4 linked regions of the Macaca fascicularis genome follow. The protein of the gene in region 3 interacts with the protein of the main gene of each other region in a biochemical or structural test. Links are inferred from orthologs where the notes say so. Each region holds a gene or a part of one and is shown on either strand. Other genes may lie near its edges.

The links.
Region 1: the proteins of NFKB1 (region 3) and MAP3K8 form a complex in vitro, tested with the Homo sapiens proteins (2 studies listed by BioGRID and IntAct, with this or other methods). The link is inferred for Macaca fascicularis from reciprocal best matches to the Homo sapiens genes NFKB1 and MAP3K8.
Region 2: the proteins of NFKB1 (region 3) and ELF1 form a complex in vitro, tested with the Homo sapiens proteins (2 studies listed by BioGRID). The link is inferred for Macaca fascicularis from reciprocal best matches to the Homo sapiens genes NFKB1 and ELF1.
Region 4: of the proteins of NFKB1 (region 3) and IKBKB, one has a biochemical effect on the other in vitro, tested with the Homo sapiens proteins (4 studies listed by BioGRID and IntAct). The link is inferred for Macaca fascicularis from reciprocal best matches to the Homo sapiens genes NFKB1 and IKBKB.

The regions. Positions count from the first base shown.
Region 1 is NC_088383.1:31,170,411-31,176,610, forward strand, and holds part of MAP3K8 (mitogen-activated protein kinase kinase kinase 8), read left to right. Parts: intron 1-1,441; coding exon 1,442-1,609; intron 1,610-3,214; coding exon 3,215-3,476; intron 3,477-4,603; coding exon 4,604-4,710; intron 4,711-6,200.
Region 2 is NC_088391.1:20,303,332-20,309,531, reverse strand, and holds the end of ELF1 (ETS-related transcription factor Elf-1), read left to right. Parts: intron 1-2,724; coding exon 2,725-3,328; 3' UTR 3,329-4,718; downstream 4,719-6,200.
Region 3 is NC_088379.1:108,167,078-108,173,745, forward strand, and holds the start of NFKB1 (nuclear factor NF-kappa-B p105 subunit), read left to right. Parts: upstream 1-2,423; 5' UTR 2,424-2,878; intron 2,879-6,668.
Region 4 is NC_088382.1:45,839,326-45,845,172, forward strand, and holds part of IKBKB (inhibitor of nuclear factor kappa-B kinase subunit beta), read left to right. Parts: intron 1-1,389; coding exon 1,390-1,517; intron 1,518-3,904; coding exon 3,905-3,995; intron 3,996-5,701; coding exon 5,702-5,767; 3' UTR 5,768-5,847.

The sequences.
Region 1 (6,200 bases), on a different chromosome or scaffold from region 3:
AGTTCGAGACCAGCCTGGCCAACATGGTGAAACCCCGTCTCTACTAAAAATACAAAATTTAGCCGAGCGTGGTGGTGCACACCTGTAATCCCAGCTACTCAGGAGGCTGAGATGAGAGAATCCCTTGAACCTGGGAGGCAGAGGTTGCAGTGAGCCAAGATCATTCCATTGCACTCCAGCCTAGCCAACAGAGCAAGACTGCATCTCAAAAAAAAAAAAAAAAAGAAGAAGAAGAAGTTTCATAATTCCTGAATTCCGAATCAGAAGCTGTAATATTACTGATTACATTGAGGAGAAACTGGTACTGAGGTGATTTATCCCTTGAAAGAACACTTTGGACATGTTACAGACAGGTATTCCAGATCGCATTTCCCATGAACTACCATATTATTTTGTTTTAATTTTGATTATAATTATTTTCTCTTCTAATTTTTTCCTCTTTAAAAATTGAAATATATTTTATATATAGCCAAATACACAGATGTTAAATGTCCAATTTTACGAGTTTTGACAAATGCATGTGCCTTTGAACCCACATTGCTATCAGAGTAGACCTCTTAATTTTTGTTTTATTATTTTAAAATTTATATTGTGTTTTTATTTCCTTCTGTAGAAATGAGGTCTCGCTATGTTGCCTAGGCTGCTCTTGCCTCAAGATAGCCTCCTGCCTCAGCCTCCCAGTGTGCTAGTATTACAGGCGTTATCCACTGCTCCCAGCTGTCTCTCAATGTTTGAATCAACTAGTTTCAAAACTTCTAAGAGTCAGCTTGCTTGTGAACCCTGGGAGGTCAAGGATCAGCCATCTCTTGTTCATGGCTGCCTCCGCAGCGCCAAACACAGTGCCTAGCAACTTTTTTGCACACAATAGATACAATGCATGCAATAGATATTAAGTGAGTAAGTAGATGAGAAGTAATTCAGCCCTCACTTAATTTACATAGCATTGTCAACTCATAGCTCTGGCATACGCTGTGGTTTTCCAAAATCTTCCATGATCATCAGTTAATTTTGATGCTCTTTCTCTGTATGCATCATGTGTGAGTAATAGCTATGTGGACTAACAGGTTCGCACATTTTAATAGAAACAAGTCAACCTGCAGGCATGGTTTATATTTACGCAATCTTTATTTTCAACCTTCTGGTTGCCGTAGTCATGCTTTTTTAGATAAATAATTTTTAAAGTTCTATTTGGCAATTAATTACTCATGAGTAGGTGGAAATATGACCAGGTCTGACCAGGCACCTGTGTCTGTTACATGCTCTCTCTGACTTCCTCAAGCTCTAAATATAGGTCTGTACAGTTGGTAGGATTAAGCACGGTGACATTAATTTTGTAACTGTGTATCAGAATGCTGCTAAAATAACCAGTCTCCTAATGGAAACTTAGAAAAAGTCAACTTGACTGAAGTCCTCACCCTCTCACATTTTTATTTTGCTGTAGGTCATCACTCCTCAAAATGGACGTTACCAAATAGACTCTGATGTTCTCCTGATCCCTTGGAAGCTGACTTACAGAAATATTGGTTCTGATTTTATTCCTCGGGGAGCCTTTGGAAAGGTATACTTGGCACAAGATATAAAGACGAAGAAAAGAATGGCGTGTAAACTGGTATGTGTTATGTAACTAGATAACCCACACTGTGTGTTTGGCATTCTGGCTTTTGTTTGTTTGTCCATTTGCATTAACCAAAGATTTTTATCCTTTGATTGGATCTTATCTAAGGGTGCACTGCCTCAAAGCATTTGTTTTTCTGAATTCATTGGCTACTTGGGGCCATTCAGCCCCAAAATCTCTGTTTAGGAGCATAGTTGATTTTAATCTAGATGATTACAAGGAAAGTGCTGGTTTTTAAAGCACTGATTTGGATAAATAACATCATCACTCTTGGAGAGAGGTAGAGAAGAGCCATCCTGCGAAGTAGAAGCAATTCTATGTGATTCTCCTTTCATTCAGCTGCGGAGGGGGCCAGGCAGAGGCAGATTGGGAAGGAGGTAGCCTTCTCAGGAAGGCAGATTTAAAAGGCTGAATTTAAATATATCAATGATTGAAAAGACCCTATCCCTTCTTTTTTTTTTTTTTTTTTTGAGACAGAGTCTTGCTCTGTTGTCCAGGCTGGAGTGCAGTGTCAGGGTCTTGGCTCACTGCAAACTCCACCTCCTGGGTTCAAACAATTCTCCTGCATCAGCCTCCCAAGTAACTGGGATTACAGGCACCCACCACCATGCCCACCTAATTTTCATATTTTAGTAGAGATGGGGTTTTGCCATATTGGCCAGGCTTGTCTCGAACTCCTGACCTCAAGCCATCCACCTGCCTTGGTCTCCCACAGCACTGGAATTACAGGCGTGAGCTGCCGCACCTGGCCTGATGTGGTTTTTCATTTTGATTTAGATGGGGGTTACATTTGTACATTCAGTTGATAATTCATTGAGTTGGACTCATCATTTTTACACTTTTTTGTATGTCTGTTTTGCTTTAATTAATTTTTCAAAAAGTACAACAAAAAATACACTCACTTTTGATTTAACAAAAAATAAAATAAATAATTGCCAAATATTATGTCTTGGTCTCTCCTATTGTAATAAGAGAGTAGCTGGGATTACAGGCGTGCACAACCAATGCCTGGCTAATTTTTGTATTTTTTGTAGAAATGGGGTTTCGACATGTTGGCCAGGCTGGTCTTGAACTCCTGGCCTCAAGTGATCTACCCACATTGGCCTCCCAAAGTGTTGGGATTACAGGCATGAGCCACCGTGTCCATTTTCAGTGCTTATTTTAAATACGTTGCTATAATAGAGTATGAACTGTGGCAACAAACACTTCATACTATCTCACAATAAACTGAAATATTGAAAATACAACCTAAAATCTAGGTACCAAAGATACTGTTGTCTAATAGGTGGGAAATTATCTCTTTTTTGATTCATTCATAATTTGAAAACATTGGATGGATTTCTGACTTCTAAGTGAAAATAATAACTCATTATTTTGTTTTTTATTTTCTTGTTCTGAATTTTATACTGAAAGCTGACTAACATAGTTAAAGGCAGATCTGAGGCAAACAGTATTGTACCTGGGCAGTCCGTTTTCACACAGGGCAGAGTATTCTTGAGGACATTTATTTGCCTTTTGGTTTTTGCATTGACCTATATTATATATTTTTAAGATGACTTTGGGGTTGTTTAGAATCTCGCTCGTATTTTTGTGTTCCAGATCCCAGTAGATCAATTTAAGCCATCTGATGTGGAAATCCAGGCTTGCTTCCGGCACGAGAACATCGCAGAGCTGTATGGCGCAGTCCTGTGGGGTGAAACTGTCCATCTCTTTATGGAAGCAGGCGAGGGAGGGTCTGTTCTGGAGAAACTGGAGAGCTGTGGACCAATGAGAGAATTTGAAATTATTTGGGTGACAAAGCATGTTCTCAAGGGACTTGATTTTCTACACTCAAAGAAAGTAATCCATCATGATATTAAACGTAAGTATCTTTGGACATACACCTTTTTGGCTCAAAGAGACTAGTTATTCAGGAGACAAACAAGCTCCTTCCTGTAATCTGAAGACCCTCCATGAAGGATGGAAAGCTCCCTCAGAGCACCGTCCATCTTCCTTCTCCAGAGACATGTCTTAGAATCATGCGGGGTTACTAGAGCTTTCCAAGTCATACAGAAAGATTACTTTGAACAGTTGTTGAAAAGTTATAGCTACATACCTCTTAGGTACTGCTCTGTTAAAAAGGCTTTTAAAATTGCAGTTTAGGCTGGGCGTGATGGCTCATGCCTGTAATCTCAGCACTTTGGGATGCTGTGGCACATGGATCACCTGAGGTCAGAAACTGGAGACCAGCCTGGCCAATGTGGTGAAACCCTGTCTCTACTAAAAATACAAAAAAAAAAAAAAAAAAAAAAAATTAGCTGGGCGTGGTGTTGGGTGCTGGTAATCCCAGCTACTTGGGAGGCTGAGGCAGGAGAATCATTTGAATCTGGGAGGCGGAGGTTGCAGTGAGCTGACATGGCGCCATTGCACTCCAGCCTGGGTGACAACAGCAAAACTCCGTCCCCTCCCCACCAAAAAAAATGCGATTTACTTAAAAACATACAAACACAGAGACAAATATTTTTGAGAAACAAATACCTCTTTCATTTTGTATACCAATGTAATAATAATCCATTAAACACAACTTTGATAACTGTTTTCTAGGAGTCTGATATGATGAGGAAATAGGTAAACCTTTAATAGCCGGTACTAAATTAGAGTGGCATAACTTTTACTGGGGGAAAAAAATGGGTATTTTACTTTTCTGCTTTAGAAAAGTGGCTTGACAACAATATGCTTATGTCGTAGAGTTTGAAACTCAAGTTCTTGACCATTATTAATGGCTACAATCATTCATACCCACATTGGCTGAATTCCTGATGGATCCGAAGTGATTTTCACCTAAAATCTGAGATGCATTCTCCCCTTTTGAATATAATACACCCATCTCACTAGAGGAAGCATTTCAGTCTTTTCTGATTTGAGATTCATTATTGTTTCAGATAATGTTTTCATTTGACTTATGAATATATAAAAAATTTTATCTTAAAAAATTTCCTCTCATTTTAGCTAGCAACATTGTTTTCATGTCCACAAAAGCTGTTTTGGTGGATTTTGGCCTAAGTGTTCAAATGACCGAAGATGTCTATTTTCCTAAGGACCTCCGGGGAACAGAGGTAATTATATTCACATGAAAAGGGTTACTATTTTATTAAGAATAAAAAAGGAAAAATTGTTCTATAATTATCGTGGGAATGAAGGACAAAGAAGGGAAAGAAATCCATTGCATTAAATCATTATTATCCTTGGAACACGTTTAATGAGCACTTGCTCTGTGTCAAGTACTAAGTTTAGCACTTGATTTTTTATTTTATTTTTTGCTATGTTATTTATAATACATAATAGTATTTGTAATATAATATACATGTTGATATATAGAACATTTCTATATATAGAACATATATAGAACATTTATAAACAATGTAATGACAAAATAGATCATATTTGCCCGGTGTGGTGGCTCATGCCTATAATCCCAGTGCTTTGGGAGGCTTAGGTGGGAGGATTAATTGAGCCCAGGACTTTGAGACAAGCTTAGGCATCATAGCAAGACCCCATCTCTATAAAAAAAATTCGTTCAGGCTGGGCACGGTGGCTCACACCTATAATCCCAGCACTTTGGGAGGCTGAGGTGGGCTGATCACCTGAGGTCGGGAGTTCGAGACAAGCCTGACCAACATGGCAAAACCCCATCTCTACTAAAAATACAAAATTTGCTGGGCATGGTGGTGGGCACCTGTAATCCCAGCTACTCGGGAGGCTGAGGAAGGAGAATCATTTGAACTCGGGAGGCAGAGGTTGAGGTGAGCCAAGATCGCGCCATTGCACTCCAGCCTGGGCAACAAGAGTGAAACTCCATCTCAAAAAAAAAAAAAATTAGTTCAGTGTGGTGGTACACCCCTGTAGTCCCAGCTAGTTGGGAGGCTGAGGTAGGAGGATTGCTTGAGCCTAGGAGTTCAAGGCTGCAGTGAGCCATGGGCACTCCAGCCTGGAAGACAGAACAAGACCTTGTTTCAAACCCTCCCCTCCCCCACAAATAGATCATATCCACAGTTCAGCTTTATGTTGTGTGGTTTTGGTTTTGGTTTTGGTTTTGGTTTGTTTTGTTTTGAGACAGAGTCTTACTCTGTGGCATGATCTCAGCTCACTGCAATCTCCACCTCCTGGGTTCACACGCTTCTTAGCCTCCTGAGCAGTTGAGATTACAGGTGTGTGCCACCACATCCAGCTAATTTTTTGTTTATTTTGCTTTTTCAGTAGAAATGGGGATTTCACTATGTTGGCCAGGCTGGTCTTGAACTGTTGGCCTCAAGTGATCCTCCCGCCTCCCAAAGTGCTGGGACTATAGGTGTGAGCCCCCGTGTCTGGCCCACAGTTCAGCTTTCATAATAATTGTAGAATTATAGTTAACTTTATAATAAGTTTAGCCCTTAAAAAGCAGTATGTTATTTAATCCTTACAACAACCCAGTTGTTGTAAATACTATTATTGTAAGCAGATTCTATTGTTATTCTCATTTCACAATAAAGGAAATAAGTTTGCAGAGATTAAAATAAAGTGTCCAGAGTCACTCAGTGACAGACTCTGGACTTGAACCCAGTTCTTT
Region 2 (6,200 bases), on a different chromosome or scaffold from region 3:
GAAGTCCTAGTGGTAGCCCTGATTAGCAATATGGAAAATTTCCAAGTACATTATTGCTTGTGTCATACCTTAGAGAAGGAAAGAAGAATGAGAGAGGCGTATATTGAAGAGTTGTAACTGCCTGTTGTTTAAGGATAGAATAGTAAATACTCATCTTTAGTACTTACTAAAGATGAAGTTGCTCAGGACTTAAGTGGCGGCAGTCTGTTGTAATGGTTCGGCGGCACATCGGCTCTGCAGTCAGATGGCCTCTCTTCTTCTCTAATTGGTCACCTTATTCAAGCTGTTACAACCTGTTTGTGCATCAGTGTTTTCATACGTAAGATGAGGATAATAATATTTGTAGGGTGACAAGGTTATACATATCATAAGGTTATGCATATTGATGTAATCTGTGTGCTATATATGCCAAATATCTATGCGTATGTTATGTAAACTCTTGTCATGGGAAGCCCTTGGGACTTTTTTATTTAAAATGGTATCTGGGCTCGGCATGGTGGCTCACGCCCAGAATCCCAGCACTTTGGGAGGCCGAGGCGGGTGGATCATGAGGTCAGGAATTTAAGACCAGCCTGGCCAATGTGGTGAAACCCTGTCCCTACTAAAAATACAAAAAAAGTAGCTGGGCATGGTGGCGGGTGCCTGTAATCCCAGCTACTCGGGAGGCTGAGGCAGAGAATTGCTTGAATCTGGGAGGTGGAGGTTGCAGTGAGCTGAGATCGCACCATTGCACTCCAGCCTGGGCGACAGAGCGAGACTCCATCTCAAAAACAAACAAACAAACAAACAAAAAACGGTATCTGGCTATAGCGTCAGGTACTATACCCAGACTCCCATCTCACCCCAGATTTCCCTGAATCAAATGGGCAAGAGAGCTTGGGTGGCCATCTAAGTTTGGTAATCCGTATCCTGTGTGAATGGGCGGCTCTAGTCATCCTGTGCCTTGATTCCCACTTCTTTTGAACCTGTGCTGAATTGCTCTGGGTCTTTGTTTCATCTTTCCACCAAGCCAACTTGTTTTTCTCCTCCACTATTTTATTTCTCATATGTGGGAAACAGACTGCATAACTAACTTTCAAAATGTAGCTTTAATAATCTAGTGGTAATATGTAACACTTGGTTTATGGAGACTAATCTAGCTGTTAGTTGTTTGAAATAGCAAGTATCTTTCATTAAATAACTTTACAGAATTCAGAGAAACAGTTGACATCCAGATGCTGAGATTTTTCAACGACATTTGTTTTATACTGTATTAATAACCATAACTATAAATTTTAGAGCGGTGAACTTTTTAAATTAGATTGGCTCATAATATCATTTATGTAACTTTCTCTTCAATGAATGGGATTAACAACCTACACAAACTAGATTTTTCATTAAAGGATTTTATGTTAAACTGTAGCGTTATGACCAAAATTTGTGAAAATTTGAACGTGGAAAACTGCTAAAACATGCTTCTATGTATTTTTCCAAAGCTTAGCCATATTTTCTCTGCCAGTCCAAGAGCCCTGACAGGTTAATTATAATCATGGCTTGTTTCATCTAAATATGACATGAAATGTGAGCTATTAAAATTCTAAGAATTCTGTCATATGGTTAAGACTGAGGTAGGTTTTTTGTTTAGGTTAATTAAGCACTTCCCCCTTTATATATAAAAACAGGTTGAGTACAATTATATGAATTTTTGTAATTATTGTGGATGAGCATGTTGGTAACATTATCTCTCAAGTATTAAAATAGCAGGCCGGGCTCAGTGGCTCATGCCTATAAGCCCAGCACTTTGAGAGGCCAAGGCGGGTGGGTCACCTGAGGTCAGGACTTTGAGACCAGCCTGACCAACACAGAAAACCTGGTCTCAATTAAAAATACAAAAATTAGCCGGACGTGGTAGTACATGACTATAATCCCAGCTACTCGGGAGGCTGACAGGAGAATGGCTTGAACCCAGGAGTTGGAGGTTACAGTGAACCAAGATCACACCACTGTACTCTACCCTGGGCAACAAGAGTGAAACTCCATCTCAAAAAAAATAGCAGGAATGAATCAAACAGATTTGCTTTTAAATTCCTAATTTTAAGCAGCTCAAGCAAACTTCTTGCTAAGCATTTTTTTTTTTTTAAAGACAGAGTCTCGCTCTGTTGCCCCGGCTGGAGTCAGTGGCGCGAACTCCGCTCACTGCAAGCTCCGCCTCCCGGGTTCACGCCATTCTCCTGCCTCAGCCTCCCAAGTAGCTGGGACTACAGGCGCCCGCCACCATGCCCGGCTAGTTTTTTGTATTTTTAGTAGAGATGGAGTTTCACCATGTAGCCAGGATGGTCTCGAGCTCCTGACCTCGTGATCCACCGGCCTCGGCCTCCCAAAGTGCCGGGATTACAGGCGTGAGCCAACACACCCAGCCCTTGCTAAGCATTTTAACATCCTCCTCCTTCCCCAACAAAATTAGCTCCTCATTTGTGTTAATGTGACCCTATGTACAGACCTTTCTTCCGTAGCACTCAGCAGCTGGTATCATAGTTAATGGCCTGAGAGTTTTGTGTTAGGCATCTCTGTATGTAGTGTTTAATACAAAGTCTGGCATGATGTTGGTCATGCTGTGTTGAAAATATGGGAAGTAGCATTTTGAAACATACAACTGGTATTTTGTAAAATGACTTCTCAAGTATTAAAGTGTTAAATGATGTAGAATATGCTAATTGTCTCACTTTAATTTCATCATCTCAATAGGACTATACAGGCTCCAACCCAAGTTCCAGTGGTTGTGTCTCCTAGGAATCAGCAGTTGCATACAGTAACACTCCAAACAGTGCCACTCACAACAGTTATAGCCAGCACAGATCCATCGGCAGGTACTGGATCTCAGAAGTTTATTTTGCAAGCCATTCCATCATCACAGCCCATGACAGTACTGAAAGAAAATGTCATGCTACAGTCACAAAAGGCAGGCTCTCCTCCTTCAATTGTCTTGGGCCCTGCCCAGGTTCAGCAGGTCCTTACTAGCAATGTTCAGACCATTTGCAATGGAACCGTCAGTGTGGCTTCCTCTCCATCCTTCAATGCTACTGCACCTGTGGTGACCTTTTCTCCTCGCAGTTCACAGCTGGTTGCTCACCCACCTGGCACTGTAATCACTTCAGTTATCAAAACTCAAGAAACAAAAACTCTTACACAGGAAGTAGAGAAAAAGGAATCTGAAGATCATTTGAAAGAGAACACTGAGAAAACGGAGCAGCAGCCACAGCCTTATGTGATGGTAGTGTCCAGTTCCAATGGATTTACTTCTCAGGTAGCTATGAAACAAAACGAACTGCTGGAACCCAACTCTTTTTAGTTAATATACCAAAGCTTATGGATGATTGTTTGTTAATTGAACATTTTCAATTATATGCAAACTGATTGATTCTAAGATAAAGTCTAAGGAGGTTTCTAATTTTGTAATTGTTAAAGATAGAGTTAATTTTGATTTTGTTAGATGAGGGAGGAAAACTCAACTGTTTCTCTTTGTTATCTAAATGTTTCAGAATTCAGTCGTGAAGGAACAGGCATTTTACACTATGAAGACATGCTTTTGAGATTCTTTTTTCAGTTGCTATATCATAAGCATTTTTAAAGTTCCTTTTCTAATTTTACATTGTATTAGATTTTCTGATTCTTTTGTAAATACAGAACTTAAATAGAAGGCAACAGGAAATTTATATAGGAACTATTTTCATTCCACTTGTGTAAGTTAAGTCTTGACTCTTTCAAATGCAAAAAACCTATTTTATGCTTTGTTAAAATTATGGTGTCACTTAGATTGACTTTAGCTGGCTGTACTATATAATATAGAACTATGAATATGTAAAATAACATGAAAAATTGGAGGTGCTGGTAGTGTGGCTGACCCTGTTTCAGAAACAGGATAGTGTAAAAGCATCAGCCTAAGAATGGCACTCCCACTAACTCGCTATGTAATCTTGACCTCTTTGGGCTTTAGTTCTTCTCATAAAAGGAAGAGATGTGTTGGACTAGACTAGATGATCACCACTGTCTCTTCTAGTTCTAATCTTTTTAATTCTAATACCTGTATTTTCAAGTTATGTCAATTAAATCATTATCAGGTTATTTCCTAATGTAAGAATAGCTGAAATGTTGCAGAGAAATAAGTGACCCAACAAAATTTATTCATCTGTGATGGGTAAGATTTGCCATAAATTCTTCCTAAATAATTTGTTTACTATGTTACTAACTCTTTAGGCCACTGTGCTTTGCAGTCCATTAGTAAACTTGTGTTGCTAAGTGCTAAACAGAATACTGCTATTTTGAGAGAGTCAAGACTCTTTCTTAAGGGCCAAGAAAGCAACTTGAGCCTTGGGCTAATCTGGCTGAGTAGTCAGTTATAAAAGCGTAATTGCTTTATATTTTGGATCATTTTTTATTGGGGGTGGACTTGGGGGGTTGCATACAAAGATAACATATATATCCAAGTTTCTGAAATGAAATGTTTTTAGATTACTTTTCAACTGTAAATAATGTACATTTAATGTCACAAAAAAATTGTCTTCTGCAAATTTTCTAGTATAACAGAAATTTTTGTAGATGAAATCATTATGTTTAGAGGTCTAATGTTATGTTTTCATATTACAGAGTGAATTTGTATTTAAACAAAAATTTAAATTTTGGAATCCTCTAAACAATTTTGTATCTTTAATTGGTTTATTATTAAATAAATCATATAAAAATTCTCAGTGTTTCTGTTTTCAGGCAAAAGTTTCTTAAAGAATAAGTGTACAAAGAATATTGCTAGAACATTAGCATTACTTAATGTTTATAAATAAACAAACTCCATTAGTCAGAATTGTAGGATATCATCCTTTCACTTTTCCTTTATAGCAGGCCAAATGGCAGTTTCTAAACATCACACAATGGATTACCAAGTTGTAAAAATTAGACAACAATAAAATATTCCCAGCAAAAATATTAAACACACTTTTGTTTCGTTTTGTTTTGTTTTTGAGACAGAGTCTCAGCTCTGTCGCCCAGGCTGGAGAATAGTGGCATGATCTCGGCTCACTGCAACCTCCACCTCCCAGGTTCTAGCTATTTTCCTGCCTTAGCCTCTCAAGTAGCTGGGATTACAGGTGCCCACCACCACATCCAGCTAATTTTTTGTATTTTTAGTAGATACGGGGTTTCACCATGTTGGCCAGGCTGGTCTTGAACTGATCTCAGGTGATCTGCTCGCCTTGGCCTCCCAAAGTGCTGGGATTGTAGGTGTAAGCCACCACGCCCCACCTAAACACACTTTTGAAAATAAGTTTTCTAGTTAGAAACTAGGTCAGTTAATAGTTAAACTTGGAAAACATCGAAAAATTTTCTTATGAAAATTAAAGTCTCTGTAATCCAATAAGAAGTAACTTTCACTTATTCATTTTTTCATGTTTGTGAATGTTCTTCCAAAATGTGATTTTAAAGGCCGTGTAATATTATATTAGTACACCAAAATCCAGTTAAATAAAACCTTTTTAACTAGATAAGTTAGTTTTATAGTTTTTCACCACATAGTGAATATCAGTGTCTTAGTTTGTCGTCTTCGTTGCTGCTATAACATAATACCTGGGACTGGGTAATTTATAATGAACAGAAATTTATTTGCCCACAGTTCTGGAGTCTGGGAAGTCCAATATTCATGCACCAGCAGGTTTGGCAGTTCTCATTCCAAACAGTGCCTGAACACCGTGCTCTCTGGAGGGAAAGAAGGCTTCATCTTCAAATGGCAAAGAGAAAAGCAAAGAGCCCACTTCCACTTCCAGAAGACTTTTATTTATTTATTTATTTATTTTTTGAGACAGAGTTTTGCTCTTGATGCCCAGGCTGGGGTGCAATGGCGTGATCTCGGCTCACCTCAACTTCCGTCTCCCGGTTTCAAGTGATTCTCCTACCTCAGCCTCCCAAGTAGCTGCGATTACAGGCATGCACCACCACACCCAGCTAATTTTCTATTTTTAGTCGAGGCAGGGGTTTCTCCATGTTGGTCAGTCTGGTCTCGAACTCACAACCTCAGGTGATCTGCCCACCTCGGCCTCCCAAAGTGCTGGGATTACAGGCGTGAGCCTTTTTATGAAGGCATTAAACCCATCCATGAAGGTGGAGCCCTCCTGGTCTAATCACTGCTTAAAGGCTCCACCTCCCAATACCTTTACTTTGGCAATTAAATTTCAACA
Region 3 (6,668 bases):
TTATTTGGAACTACGATCTTTGCAAATGTTATCAAGTTAAGATGAGGTAATACTGGATTGGGGTGGGCTCTAAATCCAATGACTGGTGTCTTCATAAAAGAAAGGTGAGGGAGATTTGAATATAGGGACACAAAGGAAACACAGGGAAGGAGACCATGTGACCATGTAGGCACAGAATGAAGTGTTGCACCCAAGCCAAGAATGGCAAGGATTGCTGGAGCCACCAGAAGCTAGGAGGCGGCAAAGGATTCCTCCCTAGAGTCTTCAAGGGAGCATGGCCTTGATGGCACCTTGAGTTCAGAATTTTAGGCTCCAGGACTGTGACAGAATAAATTCCCATTGTAAGTCATTCAGCCGGTGGTAACTTTTTACAGCAGCCCCAGGAAACTAACATGCCTGCTCAACACCCTACCCTCAATTTTAAGTTCATTTTATGGAATCATTTTGAGTTTGGAGTCTGATTTAATCCCTTTCAGTAATTAACACTCTTCATTTTTTACCCCCAAATATGTCACACTGGCTCTACTCTTGTAACAATTCTATTTACCTATCTTTTGGTAATGGGGCTGCCACTCCTTGCAGAATGAAAAGTAGAGCGTGTATGCTCATACCTCCCAAAGTGGGGGAAAATCCACACCCCTTACACTTTGTTTCATGGGAACTTGCAGACTTCTTACTCATGTCACTGGCAAAAATCATTTTACATAAACTATATTTCAATCTCCTATACTATTGGCATAATTTCTAATCTGTCCCATAAATAACAACACATAATTTCTTTCTTTCTTTTTGAGAAGGAGTCTCGCTCGGTCTCGCCCAGGCTGGAGTGCAGTAGCACAATCTCGGCTCACTGCAACCTCTGCCTCCGGAGTTCAAGCGATTCTCCTGCCTCAGCCTCCCAAGTAGCTGGGATTACAGGCGCCTGCCACCAAGCCCGGCTAATATTTTGTATTTTTAGTAGAGACGGGGTTTCCCCATATTGGTCAGGCTGGTCTCCAACTCCTGACCTCAGGTGATCCACCTGCCTCGGCATCCCAAAGTGCTGGGATGACAGGCGTGAGCCACCGCACTCGGCCCACAAAATTTCTTAAAAAGTCGTTGTGTTCAGTCTTTATGGATCCTCTGAATTCCACCTGCTCAGCCTCCAGGAGCTAAATGAGATCGCTTAAAGGTCAACTGTTGGGTGCCTCCAAGGTCGCCCCAGAGGCTCCTGTCATAGGCAATCAAATGAATCTCTGTTTTTACTTTTGGTTGTGCGCGTATGTGTGGTTTTTTTGTTTGTTTTGTTTTGTTTTTTGTTTTTGCCAGAAAAACACTCCACCAAGAAGGTTTTTATAACCTAGTGGAGGAGGAGGACGGAGAGTGGGCACAAAACGACTAGGATGAACATGCTATAAGGAATCTGAATGCCACTGCACTATTGCCTGGTAAGGACCTGATTACCGATATTTTAAAGCTAAGCTTTCAGTTGTCACTCGACCCACTAGTGAAACAATGAGCTCTAAAATATATGTTTCAGCTCAAGATTTCTTATGTGGGGAGGTAATGCAACCCAAGGTATCCCCAGCCTGTGCCTAGTACAGCGCCCAGCACTAAAGCAGCTCAGATGCCAGTGAACGGTGGTCACTGGCAGGCCTGTCAATGGGTGCCAGTAGCGGTCTCTTCAGAGAAAAAGAAAACTCCCCTCTGCCAGATCAGTATTTTATGAGCTGTAAACCAAAACCATTGCTACCACCATCACTATAATTCTATCCACAGTAATTATCATAAAGGCCTAACAATGCCTTGTAGATGAATATTGAGTAACTGCCCTATAACGAGGATATTTAAGACCGCACCAAAAACCAGTAGAGGGTTATACTTTACTGGACACAAGTCGGTTATGATAACGAAATTCTAGTTTAATCTGTGAAGAGATCTGAATGTAACCGAGACACATTTAAATGGAATATACAGATGAGCTTTATTTTTATATCTGGCATGCTTGGATCCATGCCGACCCTCCAGCTGCTCGGGCCTGCCCTTAGGGGCTATGGACCGCATGACTCTATCAGCGGCACCGCCGCCGCCTCCGCGCCGCCTGTGTTCCCGGACCACTGGGCCCGGCTGGCGCTTCCTGGGGGCGTCCCTACCGGCTCCAGCCCTCGGGATTTGGGAGCGCCCGGCTAGGAAGCCAGAGTCACGCCGGGGATCCCGGCGTCCAGGCCGCCTAACGCGCGCCCCTCGCCCGGCGCCCCGAAGCGGCCCCGAGGGGCGGGAGCCCAACCGAGCAACGAGGCCGGGCCGGGGGCGCACGGCCCCCAAAAGTGCGGGCTTCCCCCACCCCCGGCAGCGACCCCACCTCCCGCCCCCGCTGCGTGCGCGCGTGTGTCCGTCTGTCTGTATGCTCTCTCGACGTCAGTGGGAATTTCCAGCCAGGAAGTGAGAGAGTGAGCGAGAGAGAAAGAGAGAGAAGTGCACCAGCTAGCCGGGGCAGGAAGAGGAGGTTTCGCCACCGGAGCGGCCCGGCGACGCGCTGACAGCTTCCCCTGCCCTTCCCGTCGGTCGGGCCGCCAGCCGCCGCCGCCCTCGGCCTGCACGCAGCCGCCGGCCCCGCTCCCGGAGCCCAGCGCCGCCGAGGCCGCAGCCGCCCGGCCAGTAAGGCGGCGCCGCCGCCCGGCCACCGCGCGCCCTGCGCTTCCCTCCGCCCGCGCTGCGGACATGGCGCGGCGCTGACTGGCCTGGCCCGGCCCCGCCGCGCTACCGCTCGCCCCGACCCGCACCCGGGCCCGCTCGGGCTCCGGCCGGCCACCGCCTCTTCCCTCTCCAGCCCGCAGGCCCGCGCCGCCCAGGAGGGAGAGACCTGCGCCAGGAGGCCGAACGCGGACTCGCCACCAGGGTAAGCCAAACTCGGGCGAGTGGGGGCCCGGCAGGGGACGCGTGGCTCGAGTCCCGCCATCCAGCTCTCCGCACCCCCTCCAGCCCCACTCGGACTTCCTCATTCCTGCGCTAACCGCTGGGCTAGACCGTGGGAGGAGGTTGACAGTAGTGAGAGGCACATGGGATTGGCGACAGCGGGGTAAGGCACATCCGGACCTCGCAGGGGCTAGTCGGCCGAAGGGCCGTGGCTGCCCGGCGCTCATTTCTCTTCACGTCCCTCCGCGGGGTGGGAATGCGAATCGGAGGGGAACTCTTACAAACTTTTAAAATCCCCCAACCCCAGCCCCAGCTGGGGGATAGTGAGAAGGTTGAGGTGCGCTGCGGCGCGGAGGAGAGAGGGAAGGTGGTTGGTGCAGTGCAGAACCAGATTTCACCTAAGGGCGTTCCATGAAATGAAAGAAGAAGTGCTTGTCAGTCCTCCTGGCAGGGAAAGCCCTCTCCAGCTCCCCAGAATTGAATAGGAGAGTCTATTCATCCCTCTCCTACTTCTAAAAGAAGCCTGGCCCTCTCTCTGTCTCTTTTTCTCTCCCTCCCCCCACCCCTCCGTACACACACACACACACACACACACACACACACACACACACACACGATATAGTCACCTGCTATAGGACTTGATTCTGATCCTCTGGGGCCTGGCATTTGAGAGAGAAAATAAATTACCTAGTTGGATACTTAGAGCACTTTTTAGACTTGATTATGTAAAATTCTTGGACAGTGCCACCATGTATTATGCATGACTTCTGAAACAAAAACAATGTAAAAACAAAGCCTATCCTAAATGTAAGTTTTTCTATGGTCCTTAAAAACAGACACCAGGGAATGTTTGCCCTGACTTACTGGTCTATCCTGAAACTGAAATGGGACTTAATGATACAGGATTTAATTATCAAGATTTGAGACATTTTCATGGACTTTGTTAAGTAGAGGTTTTCAGCATTACAGTTTATGAAATAACCATATTTAACTCAAAGATTTTGTTATAAAGCTTATAATCTGAAAAAATGCTTATGGTATTACTAGAACATTTAATAACTCTGGCATCAAAATATTCTACACACTGGTGATCTTTAGTAAATACTAAAGGTTAGGGTCAAGATGTTCAATAATTTTCTTCTAGCAGAATCCCACAACTGAATATTGTCAAGCAGTTTAAACTGCATTCGTGTTTGTTAAAACTTTAAAAGGGAAACTTAAAATTGAAGTATGTTGTTTTTCTGATTTTAATTTTGTGCTTTCTAGAGATGAATCCTTTTACTGCTTGAGGCACTATGGGAATTATGTGTTTAAATGTATGTATTTAAATTTGAAGCAGTGTACTTTTTTCAGTTTATAAACTTGGGAAGACAGGAAATGAAAAGATTTATTTCCTGTAGAATTTTACGTTCATGATTTAATTGAATTGCTGAAATGAAAAGAACATATACGATGAATGGAGACTTGGAATCTGAGATTATTCATCCATATTGATACACCTGCAATTCCTAAATGCCCTCCCCTGCTTGTTTAGATAAAATGTCTTCCTGGTCTGCAACCTACTGGACAAACTTGAACACAAAGGAACACACGTTTTATGTACATTTAATACTGGAACCGAAAAGCTGCTTGCAGTGAAAAGCAAACCACTTCTAAACTCTTTGACACTTTTTAAGGAAAATAGTATAATCGTTTTGGGGTTGGTGGTGATTTGAAAATCTTTTATCTTTTTTTCTGAAATTTCATTCTTACGTTCGTCGTTGGCACTCACTTGTGCTGAGTAAATGCCCCTGTTTTTCAAACCCAGATAGTAAATACTGGGGTATACATACAAAAATAGTCCTTCCCCTTTGTAAGCATTGCTTTGATCTTTGCACTTCCTTTTTACTCTACCTCTTAAACAAGATCTGTGATGACTGAGTTGATTAAAGCACAATTAATCTTGAAATAGGAAGAATTTTAGATTTAGTGATCATATTCCTTACATTTCTGTTGTTACTGTTCCTGGAAACAAATTGAAGTAGTGTGAGAAACTAATTATTTATGTAGGTTGTTTTAGCTACACTTTTAGACTTGCAGATAATTGATTAAGTAAGTTACTACCTTGACTTTCAGGGATTGCTCATTGTGGTAGATACGAGGTCTAGATAGGGAATTGGCAGCTACATGAATGTTGGACTATCATTCCATCAGCAAGACCTTATTTTTACCTAATTTATGAGAGGTATTTCTCTCTTCAGAAGAGGTGAAAGTTCTGGCTTCTGAGGGGAAGTGATTACTTCATAACCTTCAATTGGTTTGAACTTGGGAGAAGTAAGAAAAGTAGTCGATATTTTCAAACAATAAAATAATTGTGTCTGAGTTGCTGTATGGATTTTTCATGAAGTACTCAAAAATGTCATCTTTTTCATCTTCAGGTCTTAATAGATGTGCTCTTCTGAGCATAGAATTGACTGCAGTAGGAAGTGTATCTGGAAATGCACAGTACTGTTGTATAACCAATAGAGTAAATACTCAGATTATGCGCTTCTAGTCCACAGATTGATCAGAAATCACATTAACAGGAATGGATGTCTATGAATGAATGGCTATGCAAAATTTCTCATTAGCTTTTTTACTTTTAGTAGGAAGTTTGTTTTATTTGGTTGGTCTCTTGGTTTTCTGTTTACAATGTGAATTGTCTACAGTAGTGGGATTGTTATATTAGAAGAGAAGGAGAAGGCAAAATAGAAGTTAGTGCCAGAGGATATGTTAAGATATGCTGCTCCTACATCTACGTTTGTGTCTAATCAGCGTTAATTGATGACTACGTCTTGGTAACCAGTAGACCATACTGGAGCAATTTACTCTGCTTTTTGGGAATTAGTTCTCATTTGCACTCTTGCACTTCCCATGAATATTGAACTCACTTGCAGTGTTCTTAGAGGTGAGCAATAAACCATCAAGAGCATATGATATCTCTTTGAATTCTGTCACTACTTTGGAGACAGAGAGTTTGGAAGAACTGAAGCTACTCAGCCTCAGGGAGAAAGGTTTGAACATTTTGGCATAGTCCTGCAAGTCAATTTGGCTCCTTGACTGTGAATTTTTTTTAATCAAAAAAGATTAATATTTGAAACCACATAATTTGGTACAGTTAATAGTTCTGGTAACATAACCAAGCCTTTTATCTTTGTAATATTTCATTAATTAGTATCCAGTGCCTCACTTTTAGAAGAAAAAAAGAGAAAAAAGTAGTTAACATTCTTTTAATGATGATGAAATTGCTTCATACTTTTGGTCTCTGCTGTATTAGAGGTTGTTCCTGGGTGCAAATTAATATACTGTCTTTTACATTTCCGGAGGTTGTTGACCTGGCCTTGAAGATCAGCCAACAGTTTAGAAAATAAGTTGTGCAAATTGCATTGCTTCACCTCAGATAATTTAAAGCCTGACAGTTCTGTATAAAATAAGAGTCACATAAGATGCAATTTGTTAAAGATTATAGAAATCTCAGAAGATAGATTATGGATGAAAATATTTGTTTAATTTCGAGTACTAATAATAAAAATAGTGCATTTTACATTTTAAAAAGAAAACAATTTTTATTCTCATATTTTCTGTAGTAACTAATACAGATTTAATTATCAATAATACAAATTTCATCTGCTTTAATTTATTGCCTGTTTTTGAAATTAGAATAATGATATATTTGGTTTAATTATCCATTACTAATTGCCTTATTATTTTTCATTCATCTTTCACCATTAATCCAGAAATAGCTTCTCTTTTGA
Region 4 (5,847 bases), on a different chromosome or scaffold from region 3:
CACAGGACACATCGCAGTATCTGTCTTTTCCCTTGATATTAAAGGAATTGAGTGTGGGGATATGATCACATCTGGGATTTTGGGAAGTCCCTCTCCAGGCAGCTGGAGAATCTGAGCCCTTGGCCAACCTCAGCACTGAGAAGGGCCCCTCAGCAGGGTTGGAGTTGAGCCACCCCTGTGCAGCACAGGACGGGGCGGGGCAGGAGCTGGGGCAGGGCCTGGCAGGGAGGGAGCCAGGCAGCGCAGGAGCCATCCCCTGCCACACTTTCGGTCAAGGGCAGAAGCACAGGAGGTCAATGCTGGGCCTCTCCCAGGCATGGTCAGCAGGGAAGGTGCAGCAGGAGGACCAGGAATGGAGGCTTGGGCGCTTGCATGGCTCCTTGACTTGTGGGCCTTGAGGTTTCGCTAGAGGGGAGGATGTGGAGCCAGGAGGGTTCCATGGCCTGAGGGACATGTGAGGGGATGAAGGACTGCAGGCCGCAATGAGTGCCAGGAGCGGGGGTTGGGGGACTACACAGGTGGGTTGGGGACCATGCAGGGCAGAGATCAGTGGAGGGGTGACCTGAAGGTTGGCCGGCGGTCATGGGCTGTGAGCTGAGGAGGCTCAGGTAGCTGGAACAGGAGCCCCTGCTTGACCCTTTGGGCTGGGAGGAGCAGTGGCTGCAGCCCCTTCGGAGTCAGTGCATCCTGGTTTCTTCTCAGCCAGGTCATAGAGGATATGAGCCACAGGAACTCCCATAGCCTTTGTGTGTGTGTCTGTCTTCTACCTGGAAAAGAGTAAAAATACTTTCCTGTTCTTTTCTTGTAAAAGTTCATTAAGGGGCCGGATGCAGTGGATCATGAATCCTAGAACTTTGGGAGGCTGAGGCAGATCACCTGAGGTCAGGAGTTCGAGACCAGCCTGGTCAATACGGTGAAACACTGTCTCTACTAAAAATACAAAAATTAGCTGGGTGTAGTGGCACATGCCTGTAGTCCCAGCTACTTGGGAGGCTGAGGCAGGAGAATTGCTTGAACCCAGGAGGTGGAGGTTACAGTGAGCCAAGATCGCTCATTGCACTCCACCTGGGTGACAGAGCGAGACTCTCAATCATTATCAATCAATCAAGCAATAAAGCCGATGAAAATAAAAAAACCTGCAATAAATGTAGGCACCCAGGTCTCCTTAAATTTAGAATCCTTTCCTCAAAAGTCCCCCTGTTGATACAGAAACACTTTTGAAGCCAGATATGAAGCACCAGCTGCCCCCCAGGTAGGGGTGCCGACTGGTAGGCTGTAGGGTTAGCTCTGGCATCTGGCAGTCAGTTGTCTCCTGAGAAAATACTGTGGTGTGAATGCAAAATGTGATTCGTCACTTGGCTCCTAATTTCTTTTGATTTTGTCCCCTAGAGCAAGGTCCGTGGTCCTGTCAGTGGAAGCCCGGATAGCATGAATGCCTCTCGACTTAGCCAGCCTGGGCAGCTGATGTCTCAGCCCTCCACGGCCTCCAACAGCTTACCCGAACCAGCCAAGAAGAGGTAGGTCCCCGTTAGCAGCGCCAAGTGTGACTGTCGAGGGCACGTCAGGAGATTGGGGATGGAGGCGTTTGTCACTGGTAAATGTCTGTCCAATGATATCACTACCTCTCTGGATGTTTGTTGCATCTGCTAGGTCCTGTGGGGACAAAAGTGTTACATGTTTTGCTCTCCTAGTCCCTTGAAACTTACTAACTAGTTTCTTTGTCCAAGGCTTGGATGACTAACTGCTTAATGAGAACATTGGAAATGCTGGTTGGGCACATGCTGCTACCTTTTATCCATAGGAAGCCACATTCCCTTCAGGGAGGCCCACTTCATCTTTCATCTCCCCTGAGCCATCTGCCCCCACTCACCCTACCACTCCCTTGAGTTACCAAGTCACCACCCTCCTTCTGGTGCCACTGACCTTCCCGTTCTTCCCGTCCTCTGCCTCCTCTTGCCTGAACCATGGCGGCAGGGCTTTCTGCGTCCTGCCTCCTGCCTTTCTGCTGCCAAGCCCTGTGTGGTTGAATTAATCTTCACAAAATACCACTCTGACCAAGGTATTCCTTGGTCAGTCATGAATAACAGCTTCCCCCTCCGTTATAGATGCTCAGGTCTGAGCTTTCTTCAGGTCTCATCTGTGCCAGTAGCACAGTATCAAATTCTCAGGTCCTGCCGGAGACCTCACTTGGGAGCTCAGGGTTGGGGCCCAGCAGTCTGTGTCTAGCAGCCCTCCGCCCATTCTCCAGCACACTGCAGGCCACCTCTGTTCCCACGGTCGTCCCTTCCTGTGGTTTGTTTTGTTTGACACTTTCTGTGTGCAGGGCTCTATGGGTTTCTGCAGGAACTAATCTCTAGGCATGGGAAACACTGATGATTGCCTGGGGCAGGGGAGGAGGATGGGAGTGACTGATAATGCAAGGTTTCTTCTGAGGATGAAGAAAACATTCTGAAACTAGACATGGTGATGGTTGCACAACTCTGTAAATATGCGAAAACCCTTGAATTGTACACTTTAAATGGGTGAGCTTTATGGTATGTAAATTATATCTCAATACAGTCTGCTTTGAAGAATCTTGTTCTTGTCCTTGGGGACTTTGTAGCCTATTTTGATATTTATGTGACCTTGGATACTTAATTTTCTCTCGGCCGTATGGCACATTCTTGTAATCCTAGCACTTTGGGAGGCCGAGGCAGGAGGTTTGCAGGAGTTTGAGGCAAGCCTGGGCAACGTAGTGAGACTGCTTCTCTTTTTTTTTTTTGAGACGGAGTTTCGCTCTTGTTGCCCAGGCTGGAGTGCAATGGCGCAATCTCAGCTCACCTCAAACTCAGCCTCCTGGGTTCACGCGATTCTCCTGCCTCAGCCTCCCGAGTAGCTGGGATTACAGGCATGAGCCACCAGGCCTTGCTAAATTTGTGTTTTTATTAGAGACAGGGTTTCTCCAGCCTGTTGGTCTGGCTGGTCTTAAACTCCAGACCTCAGGTGATCCGTCCGCCTCAGTCTCCCAAAGTGCTGGGATTACAGGCGTGAGCCACCGCATCCGGCCCTTTTTTTTTGTTAAATAAAAAGTACTTCCCCAACCTCTCATGAGCTCCTGGAGTATAGTAGCTAGGCCAGGAGCCTCTTCCATTCCCTTCTGGGGCAGGCACTGAGCCTTTAGCCTAGCTAGAGGCCCTGTAGCTGAGGTTTGGCAAAAATGTACTCTGAGCTCCTGCCATCAGATTGTCACATTTTGCAGAGTGAGAGGAGTTCCGGGGCACTGTCTTCCCTTACGTGGCTTATTCCCTTCAATGATGTCCTCAAAGCTCTAGAAAGGTAGACCTGGGTATGTAGGATGTCTCTTGTCTCCCCACAGCATAGAGCTGAGGTTAGAAAAAGATGTTTTATTACATGCTGCGCTTTCTCAATGTGGCCCAATCCTCAGAGGAAACATGGGTTTCTTATTATAGAAAAGAGAGAGATCAGATTAGATGAAACCAAATCCCAGAACTGCTTTTCAACAGATTCCAAGGAACTATGGAACCCTGATAAATTGGTTGGCCCTTTTTTTTTTGTCTACTTCAGAAATTGGAAAACAGGTGATTTGGAGAATATCTTTAGATTTTGGCAGTTTGAGAATTAAATTCAGCTATCTAGTAAGTCAGAAAGCAGAAAGAGCTCTTTTTACTTCTGACTTTTTATGGAGATCTGTTTGCCTTTTTGGCAGTAATGCTCATGTGTGGAAAGTGCATAACAAGATGAAAGTATTAGTCAATGGGTTGGTGTTTTAAGACACTCAGGATCAAAATAATTGTTACTTCATTTAAAAAGTATTATCAAAACTCTTTAGCATATTTTAAAATAGCAGTGTTAGCTCTGATAACTAATAATGATCGCTTTCTAATAATTTGATCATTTTCTTTAGTGAAGAACTGGTGGCCGAAGCACATAACCTGTGCACCCTGCTAGAAAATGCCATACAGGACACCGTGAGGGAGCAAGACCAGAGTTTCACGGTAACAGCCTGTGTGAGCCCCCTGCGATTCCATGTCCTTTCATTCTATAGCAAAAGAGAAAAGAAAATGGAAACACAATCTGGCATTATCCCCAACCTCAGTGTTTGTTTGTTTGTTTATGACAGGGTCTTTCCCTGTCACCCAGGCTGGAGTGCGGTGGCATGATCTTGGCTCACTGCAACCTCTGCTTCCCGGGTTCAAGTGATTCTCATGCCTCAGCCTCCTGAGTAGCTGGGACTATAGGCGTGCGTCACCACACCCAGCTGATTTTTTCAGTGCATATTTATAATTTTCCATTACACATTTTTTATTATTCATAATAATAGTGATGACTAACAATTATTGAAGGCTTACAACTACATATATGCATTATCTTATTTAATCCTTGCAACACTTAATTCCTATGATGAGGAGGAAGGTAGCATTTTCCCCAGAAGCCTGTCCCCACCTGCACCATTGGTACTACTGCTGAGGATTTGTGTGTTGAGTGCTGGGCTGGGAGCGGGAACCAGCCATGGCCATGTCCTCAGGGCCTTGGAGCTTAGCAGTAGGTAGTACTAGTTATGAGACCACTAGTCAAGATATAGGTACATTAAGACAAAGCTTCATTGTTGAGAGAATCCTGCATCATTTGCCTAGATCTTTACATGGTCTTTACCTGCTAATCACTTGCTAACCTCCCCTAACTTTAAGCTTTTCGGAAGAATTGCAGGGGATACTACTGTGAATTGCAGCCTTTGCTGATGTAGTCGCATGTCCTCCTCCAGTCTGTGGGCATTCTGTATTTCTTGCTGCTCTCTTCCTCCTGGCACAATAATGTTTTGATCAGTTCATTGCTTACTTGCACGTCCGTGGGAGGAAGAGGAAGTCTCATCAGGCCGAGTCATGTGGTGAGGCTGGAAATCCATAGCTGAGATTAGCTACCCACAGTGAGCACGAGAGTGAGTGCTGTGAGCCACGGTGGTACTGACATCGCCTTTCTAATTCCCACAGTCACAGAATCTTAAGGACTCTGAGCCAATCCAAAGAAAAGATCCTGTACAGTTTGAATATGTAACTTAGCTCAAGAGTGCCCTGCAGTCACAAAACTTATTAATAAAAGGGTTTGGCTTTTTAATTTGTATTTGTTTAATTAATTTATTTATTTTATGCAGCCTGGGTCTTGCTATGTTGCCCAGGCTGGTCTTGAACTCCTGGCCTCAAGCAATCCGCTCGCCTCTGGCTCCCAAAGTGCTGGGACCACAGGCATGAGCCACCATACCTAGCCAATAAAGGGGTTTCAATATATTTCTTTTTATTTTTGTTTGTTGTTTTTTTTTTGAGATGGAGTCTCGCTCTTTCGCCCAGGCTGGAAAGCAATGGTATGATCTCAGCTCACTGCAACCCCTGCCTCCCAGGTTCAAGTGATTCTTCTGCCTCAGCCTCCTAAGTAGCTGGAACTATAGGAGCTTGCCACCACGCCAGGCTAATTTTTGTATTTTTAGTAGAAACAGGGTTTCACCATTTTGGCCAGGCTGGTCTCGAACTCCTGACGTCATGATCTGCCCACCGTGGCCTCCCAAAGTGTTGGGATTATAGGCGTGAGCCACTGCACCCGGCCGGGTTTCAGTATATTTCTAAATTGTCCTGATTGCCTCCTGAAGAGTAACAATAACCTGAAATGTGTTGGTGGCTGTTGTATTTTTAACATGTCTGTTGACTTTCAGGCCCTAGACTGGAGCTGGTTACAGACGGAAGAAGAAGAGCACAGCTGCCTGGAGCAGGCCTCCTGATGTGGGGGAACTTGACCCCCTGACATGGGGCTGTCCATAGCAGACCTTGTGCAGTGGGGGGACTCGACCCCCTGACATGT